2 linked regions of the Canis lupus familiaris genome follow. The protein of the gene in region 2 interacts with the protein of the main gene of each other region in a pairwise test. Links are inferred from orthologs where the notes say so. Each region holds a gene or a part of one and is shown on either strand. Other genes may lie near its edges.

The links. The genes of interacting proteins can lie anywhere in the genome.
Region 1: the proteins of KASH5 (region 2) and GPATCH4 interact in binary tests that used the Homo sapiens proteins (3 or more experiments, as listed by UniProt). The two-hybrid records come from large-scale screens. The link is inferred for Canis lupus familiaris from reciprocal best matches to the Homo sapiens genes KASH5 and GPATCH4.

What each region holds. Positions count from the first base shown.
Region 1 is NC_049228.1:41,340,202-41,344,492, reverse strand, and holds the start of GPATCH4 (G patch domain-containing protein 4), read right to left. Parts: upstream 2,811-4,291; 5' UTR 2,296-2,810; intron 304-2,295; 5' UTR 247-303; coding exon 168-246; intron 1-167.
Region 2 is NC_049222.1:107,764,133-107,767,723, forward strand, and holds part of KASH5 (protein KASH5), read right to left. Parts: coding exon 3,584-3,591; intron 3,077-3,583; coding exon 2,890-3,076; intron 2,400-2,889; coding exon 2,335-2,399; intron 1,109-2,334; coding exon 1,042-1,108; intron 892-1,041; coding exon 640-891; intron 319-639; coding exon 201-318; intron 1-200. UniProt on the Homo sapiens protein: As a component of the LINC (LInker of Nucleoskeleton and Cytoskeleton) complex, involved in the connection between the nuclear lamina and the cytoskeleton.

The sequences.
Region 1 (4,291 bases), on a different chromosome or scaffold from region 2:
CATTTTCCGGAAACTTAGAAATTGTCTTCTGCAAATTGCCCTTTAAACTCGCTTTTCCTCCTCCAGGTGAATGGACTACTACGGGTAAGCCCCAGATGACGCTGTTCACCTGACCACAAGGTGGACAGGGAGTTGGGGGGATGTGGAAGGGGCCCCCCAGGGATGACCTTGTGTCCATCCATGCTTTAGCAGCTGTTCCTCAGCAAACTTCATCCCACGACTCTTGATCTCTGGGGTGGCACTCATGGTGAGAGAAGAGTCACTATCCTCAGGCCCTCACCAGAGAAGAGGCCATTATCATCCCTTTAAAAGAAAAGGAGAAAATGCCCAAATCGTCCATCCAATCCATCCTGACTGGTCTCATAAAAATTCTTTTCTGAGTGTGGGGTAGACAAAGGGAGGAGGCCTGGTCTTTGGGAGAGCTCCCTGCTGACCACAGAGATCAGCATGTTGAAAAGTCAAGTAAGACTGGTGTTACTAATAACACCCAAATTTACGGAGAGCTCACCACATGAGTGTTTAATGTTCCTAGCCCAGAAAGGGTTCCTAAACTTTGCATTCAGGAAAGTATTATCATCCGTACTTCACAAATGAGGAAACGTGACTTGCTCCAGGTCAACCAGATGGCCTGCCGGCACAGCCCTGCTCTTTGCCACGACATGGTTAACAGCTCCCTAGATTTACTGCCATGTAAAAAAAGGTGATAAGAGATTTTTAACCTGAGTTATAAGAATACTCAGCGGAGCCCCTATCTCATACCGATGCTCCAGGGCTGTCACCTCAAGTGTGGGGGCTCTGCACCTCTTCCTCACTGCTGCTCTTCACTCTTATTGGAACACCCCTTTTGAAACTGTCCATCTCACTGATCATTTCATGCATCACAGATTGATTACACATACTGTTGTATTGTCTTATTTAATCCTGATAGTCCTGTGGATAACAATTACCTTTACTTTACAAGCAAAGAAAACAAAGCCTGCGTCACATAGCTAATAAGAGATGGAGCCGGAATACAAGCCCAGGTTGCCCACCTCCAACGAGGCCTCCATCCCATCACAATTACTAGTCATCTAGGCGCTTCTCCTTTGGGAGCCCAGAATGGCATTATCCAGCTTATCACACGAGACACACAAAACTAAGACCACCACTGCTGACTTAACTCACTAAAGTTAACTTGTATTAAGGTAACTCATCACAGGGATTGCAGACCATTTTTAAGGATTAATGGCACTAGTGGAGTAACCCTAAGCCTCCCAATGTGACAATTCTTTAGGGTAAAACTTGCATTTGTGTTTAAGAAGGCCCAGTGAACATGATATTAATCAGCCACATCAGCTGAAGTCACCTCTCCTAAATATATGTATAGGCTTAAGAATGCTGCCCATTCTGGCTTGGTATTTAGAGCAGGCAAATTCAGGATGACTTATATTTCTGTTCACATTTCTACTATGAAGAACGATCACCCAAAAACCAGGTACCTTGAGAATCCCAACAAAAAGCCAAGCGAAGAAACTGCTCTATCTTACTTCTTGAATTTTAAGAAATGTAAAATTCGAACACTGGGGCCTTTTAAGGGCGCCTCAAAACTCGGCCTCCTCCCGGAAGTTATCTCTCATCCATCAGCCCCCAGATCTTCGTAATAACAACAGTGTCTAAAAGTCATTTACTCAATGCCAGCCTGCTAACCTCTTTACACAGATCGTCTGATTTCATCCTCCCAACAGTCCCCTTAGGAAATATTATTACCGACACTTAACAGAAGAAATCACAGATAAGTTTATTATTTGCCCAAAGCAAAGAGCTGGCAAGTTGCAGATCCAGGATCTCAGGCATCCCAGAACTGGTCTCTCACAGCTCTTCGCGCTGCCCGCCTTGAGGTTTACCACTGCAGTCATTCGGAACTACACGCCCCGCATCAGGGTCGGGCTTTACTCCGCAACCCCGTGCACTTAATGCAGGAGTGGAATGCGCTCAGCGGTACGACCCAGATCCGGGCGGCTTCAGCTGACTGCCCACAGTAATTGTACAGAAGCAACCAGGCCCCACGCGGTGCCCCGCGGGCCCGGGAAGGCTGCGAGCGCGTTCTCTGGAACCGTCCCCTTTCTGATCAACCTGAGTTTTCTGGAAAAGGGTCCCAGGACCACCCATCTGACAGCGCTTCCAAAGGGCCGCTACCCCGACCCTGGCCTCCCTCCTCATGCCGTAGTTCCAACGGCCAAGGACACTGTCCTGCCCCGCCTTCACTCCTGAGCCCAGGCTCCGACTGACTCCGTTCGGGGCGCAGTAGCCACTTACCGTCACCGCGGGGCCCTCTCCGCGCGAACACGTGCGTCGCCCGTTCTGTGCGCCGCCATCTTCCCGGAAGTGCCGGTCGGTCCCTCTAGGCTGCGGACACCATAGAGGCGCACGTGGACCCGGAAGTCCAGGCGTGGGGGAGGCGCTCTGTCCTCAGCGGATGTGGCGGAAGCTCGCCCGCGAACGCCAGTTTCCTGGGGTCCGGGGCGGTTCTATTTCCGGTTAGCTTGCAGCCCCCGGGATGCGAGGGAATCGTCTTGGCCAGCCCTCGGGACGCCGAGCGCAGCACTGGCTGCAACGCTGAGCTAGTCCTGGTCCCAGAGCTGGGGAAGGAAGCTCCAGGCAGCGCGCAAGGCTGCCTGGGCGGGTCGACGGGCGGCGAAGAAGCGGCCCCTCGGGGGTAGTTTGCGGGGATGGATACTCAGCCCGGGGACGGTCGTTCGGCGGTTGCAGTAGGTTCATCACCCCGTGGGGGCAGCTGCCGGGTTGGAACTGGTGCTGCGAAGATGCGGAAGACGCGCGCCCTCACTCGGGCGGACCTGCTTTGGCGGGGTCCACGGAGACGCTGCGTGGGGCTGCAGGGCCGGGGTTGAGGGCTGGAGCTAGCTAGGGCGGATCCCGGCCGTTGGGGGCCGGCTGAGGACCTTGCACTTGCCTGGTGTGAGGCTCCGCTAAGGAGTTGCACATGCCGCCTGCACACAAACTGTACCTCAGCCTCGCGCACCACCGAAGAACTAACACCTGAACACCCCCCACACACACCAGCTCCCTATCTCAGGATTTCCGGTAACGGAAGCGCATACTCCTGGAACTGCGAAAAGGAAAAGTGGCATTTCCCGGGAAAGCTTTGCCACATTACTCAGTTTGTCACATCTAATTTTTCCTGTAAAATTCACTCATTCACCAGAGAGCACAAGCAGGCTGAGCGGCAGGCAGAGGGTGAGGCAGAAGCCGACTCCCCCCCCCAAAAAACGGAGAGCTAGCCACGTGGGGATCATGACCTGAGGGTAAAGCAGACACTACCGACTGAGCCACCCAGGAGCCCCTATTTATATTTAGAGAGAGGGGAGGAGGAGAGGGAGAGAAAGAATCCCAAGCAGGCTCCATGCCCAGTGGTGCCGACCTGGGGCTCCATCTGAAGACCCTGCAATCATGACCAAATCAAAATCAAGAATCTGAGGCTTAACCGACTCAACCACCCAATGCCCCTAACTTTACTTTTAAAATACACTGCATGGGGACGCTGGTTTAAACCATGGAGCTTGCTTAGTGGAATTCTTCATGCATCTGGGATGGTGGATGCTTGGAAGGTACTCCTCAGGGTCTGGTTCAGTCTGGGAACACTGAGTGGGAGTCACATCTGAGTCCTTTTCCCACTCCACCACTAATTGTGAGACCTTGAACAAGTCACTTCTCCAGAGTACCCTTTCCCTGGTCTGTAAAATCAGAATACTGGACTTGTTCAATCATTTTTACAAACTTGACCTTATCGTGGTGTTTCAGGCTGCTGAGGGAATTCCACAGACTGGGCCCATTTCCACCATGTTCCCCTCCACCTTTTCTGTTCCCTCTGCCTATCTAATGTCACGTATCATATTGTGGTCATAGAAGAGGTTTGAAAGCTCCAGAATGAGGCAACCTCGGGGGCCCCTTCCAGTTCACAGTTTCTGTTTAGCACTCTTTACAGGCCACCCACAAACCTAGTAGCCACAATTCTCTGACTCAAGGTTCCTGGTCTGGCCTAGAGTCATGAGCTCCTTGTTCTGCCTGATTCTCTAATTCAAGAAGCATTTATTAAAGGACTTCTTGGCCAGCCCTGGTGGCGCAGCGGTTTAGTGCTGCCTGCAGCCCAGGGTGTGATCCTGGAGATCCGGGATCGAGTCCCACATCAGGCTTTCTGCATGGAGCCTGCTTCTCCTGCCTGTGTCTCTGCCTCTCTCTCGCTCTCTCTGAATAAATAAATAAATCTTTAAAAAAAAAAAAAAAGGACTTCTTA
Region 2 (3,591 bases):
GGGAGCCCTGATGGCTCCTGCTGTCCCCCCTGTCATGAGAGGAGTGGCAAATAGATCTGGACCCTAAGTCTTGGGCAAACAGGATCTGGAGTCAGAGAGGAAGCCAGGGTAACTTCTATTCCATGGTCAGGCTCTGTTGCTCAGACTCCAAGAAAGGGGGAAGGAAGAGAGCAGCTTTGTGCCCCTTGCCCAGAACCCACCGTCTGCCGGGCCTGGGCCAGGAGCCTGCGATTCTGTTCCTCCAGGTTCTTGGCCAGAGTCTTCAGGTCCTCCAGCTCCTCATTCACAGCCTTGGCACACTGCAGAGCCTGCTGGGTACTGAGTGGGGGTGGGGCAGGTAGGCCACATGAGAGGGAAACCGTAGAGATAGCTCCACTCAAGAAAGCGGGAAGTAACAGAGAAAATCCTAGACAGAGACCTAGGGGTTGGGTACAGAGATCCAGAGGGAAAGGAGGGGAGGAATTTGGTGCAGGGGACAGAGACCCAGTTTCTACCTAAAAGACTAAGGGGGTGGGACAGAAAGAGGAAGTGCAGAAAGGGACAGTGTGGGGTCACAGACAGGGCAGGAAGTGCAGGGAGAACACATGGAAAGCGAGCTGAGTAGGGCTGCGGTAAGAGGGACACAGGCCCCTGGCCCACCTGCGAAGTTGCCTGCGCAGGGCTGTGATCTCCTCGCCCAGGCGTGTGGCTCCCTCTTCAGCTGTCTCCACGCTGCGCTGGAGCTTGGCGTTCTCCCCAGCCAGCCTGCGGTTGCTGAGCTCCAGGTCCTCCAGGCTGCTCAGCAGGTCAGCTGTGGCGGGCCTGAGGTCAGGGAAGGGCTGGTCACAGGCCACAACCCTCCACCTTCCCAGGCGGGGTAGGGGGTGGCTGCAGTGGGGAGATGAGGCTCTTCTGGAGAAAGAGAAACAATAGAGAGACTGCCCCGCTCTCTGGGAGCATGGCCCATCCCATCCCTCACCCACTCCGCAAGGACCCCAAGCTCTAAGGGTGGAGGCTGGAGGGCGTGGGCAGTGGGGAAGGGAGGTGGGGGGGCATTGGTACATCTCAGGTCTGGGGTCTTCGCCTCCGAAGCTCTCCAAGTTGGCTGGTTCCTCGGCTTCTGGGCATCCTGGAGGGAGACAGACAGAGGGTGGTAGGCTCCTGGTGACCTTAGGCGGTGGGGCCCCCCCAGGTTGCGGCCTTGGCGCCCCCCCAGGTTGCGGCCTTGGCCTCCACTAGCCTCACCCTTACATTTGCCCTGGGTCATCTCATCTGCCCCTGGGGCTATGGTTACATCCACTATCTGAAAGGCCTCTTGTTCATTGGTACCCTGAGCTCAAGCTGGATCTTTCTCATAGCCCTGGATTCACCACACCTGACATGGGCGGTGGCAGCCCCTCAACTGCCCTGAAACCTGTTCCTCTTCCTGGTTTCCCTCCCACCCAGCCACCCAGCCACCCAGCCACAGGGCTGTCCTCCCTCCCTCGCTCCTCCTCATCCCCACAGTCCATTGGAGTCCAGGCCCTGACCCCTCCTCCCTGACTCTGCTCCACTCTCTTGGCTCAGGTTTCTCCTTCTCCTCCTGGACCCACAACCTCCTCCCCAGCCTTCACATCCTGACCTTCCCCCTACTTGGGAGGGGTGTTATCTCAACCGGAGTTTACCTGCCCCTCCCATGGCCCCCCAAGCCCAAAAGGAAGAGGTTCAAGGGAATGTCAAGAAAACTGTACATGTAGATTTGCTTTTGTTTTGTTTTTGTAAGGTATAAGGGGAGAGCTTTTTCTATGGAGCACCTGCTACATGTGAGGCCCTAGGGATAAAATTGGGAACAGCTCAACTAACCAAATAGCAGGGCAAGTGACTCAATCAGATGGTCAGATTTCTCCAGGAAAGACAGGCAGTCCTGTGAGTGAGCCTGGACAGCCAGGGACCTTAGCCTGGGGCATCCCAGGGCTTCCCTAGGTGGGGCTTCCCCAGCTGTGGGAAGTTTTAGGGAGAATCGCAGAAGCGAAAGACCCTGGAGGGCAGGTAGGCCTGTGGGATCAAAGACTAGAGAGTAGACAGGAGCCCATTATGCTGACAAGGACAGGTGGGCCGGGGCTCCCTGGCCTCTATGACAGGGGTGCAGTTAGGAGGAGGACTTGGAACCAGCCCTGAAGAAAAAAAAAACCCAAAGCTCAGGGACGGTGGGGGAGGCAGCCATAGAGATGCCTGGAAGGCCAAACTCACAGCTCCAGACTAGAGCAAATGTTCCAGGGGTCCCACCCCATGCCCCTGGCTCTGTCCCCTGGTGGGAAGTCCCCCCACTGTCTGACCCTGGGCCTGCCTGCTTTATTCTATATATGGTAGTCTCACCAGATGGCGGTTGCTGGGAGGTCAGGGCCCCCTCAAAGGCTGTCTCCTCTTCCAGCTCTAATCCCCTGTATCAAAGGGATGAGGCTTAGAGCCCCCTGCAGCCACCCCCAATCCTGCTTGGCCTCGCTTCGCAGGGAGGGTTGCTGGTGGCAGGAGGGGCCGAGTCAGGTGAGAGCAAGAGCATTGAGAGCCCCACCATGGGGAGGAAGGTAAGGCCAGATGGCAGGAACCCAGGGCCAGATGGAAGAACAGAAGAGGGCAAGGACTGGGTTTGGAGAAGGGGTGGGGAGAGGCCTCTGCCGGCCCCCCAGCACCCTCATTCCTCCCCCTTCCAGTCCCTTTTATTTCTGCCTCCCCCCATCGCAGGAACTTTGTCTTCAGACCCTCCACCCCATCCTCCCAACCCCATCTCTTCACTTTTCTCTCCTTCTCAGTCTCCTTCAAACTACAGTAGGCCTCTTTGCCCAAAGGGTGCTGGCTGCAGTAAGCAGGTATGAGGTTAGATCTTAGGAAGGACTTCCGGGGGTGGGGAGGGCTAGAGGTGCAGAGACCTACCCATCCAACTGACAGGCAGCGATCCAGTCTCGCATGACGGCAAGGAAGGTGTCCAAGTCCACAGTGGCCTGAGGACCCTCCCCATTGGGGTCCAGGTTGCAGGCCAGTGTTCGGAGGCGTGTATCCTGGGGGCCACGGCCTGTCACAGCCTCCAGGTAGGCTAGCACATGGGTCACAGCCACAATGCCTGGGGACAGACCATGATGTGAGGGATTCTGGGGCAGGTGGGGGGTAGGGACAGGTGATAGCTTGAAAGTAGGACACCAGTGGCTGGGCTGGAGCCCCCCCCCACAATCCCCCCAGCACCATGGCTTAACAGAGACATTTTGGGCAAGTCTTTCCTCTCCTCTGAGTCAACCTTTTCACCTGGAAATGGGAGCCCAGCCATCCTCACTCACAAGGTAGACCAGAGAGGACCTGCTGTGCCCTATCAGGCTTAAGGGGGCTGCCCTCTCTCCCTCTCCCCAGGCCCTATTCCATTAATGTCCTTGCCCTGAATGGCCTCCATCCCTTTCCCCTACTTCCTTCCCAAAGCTTCGCACAATCACCCAGCTCATCCTGCAGGCCCCCCAAGAAAGGTTCCTAGCCCATCCCTCTCTCTAAGGCTCCCCAGTTTCCAGCTGCCCCCAATCCCTTATTATTCTGTGTGTCTACAGGCCCAGGGCTGCCTGGCCCCCCCTTGCAGCCTCCCAACCTGTCCTT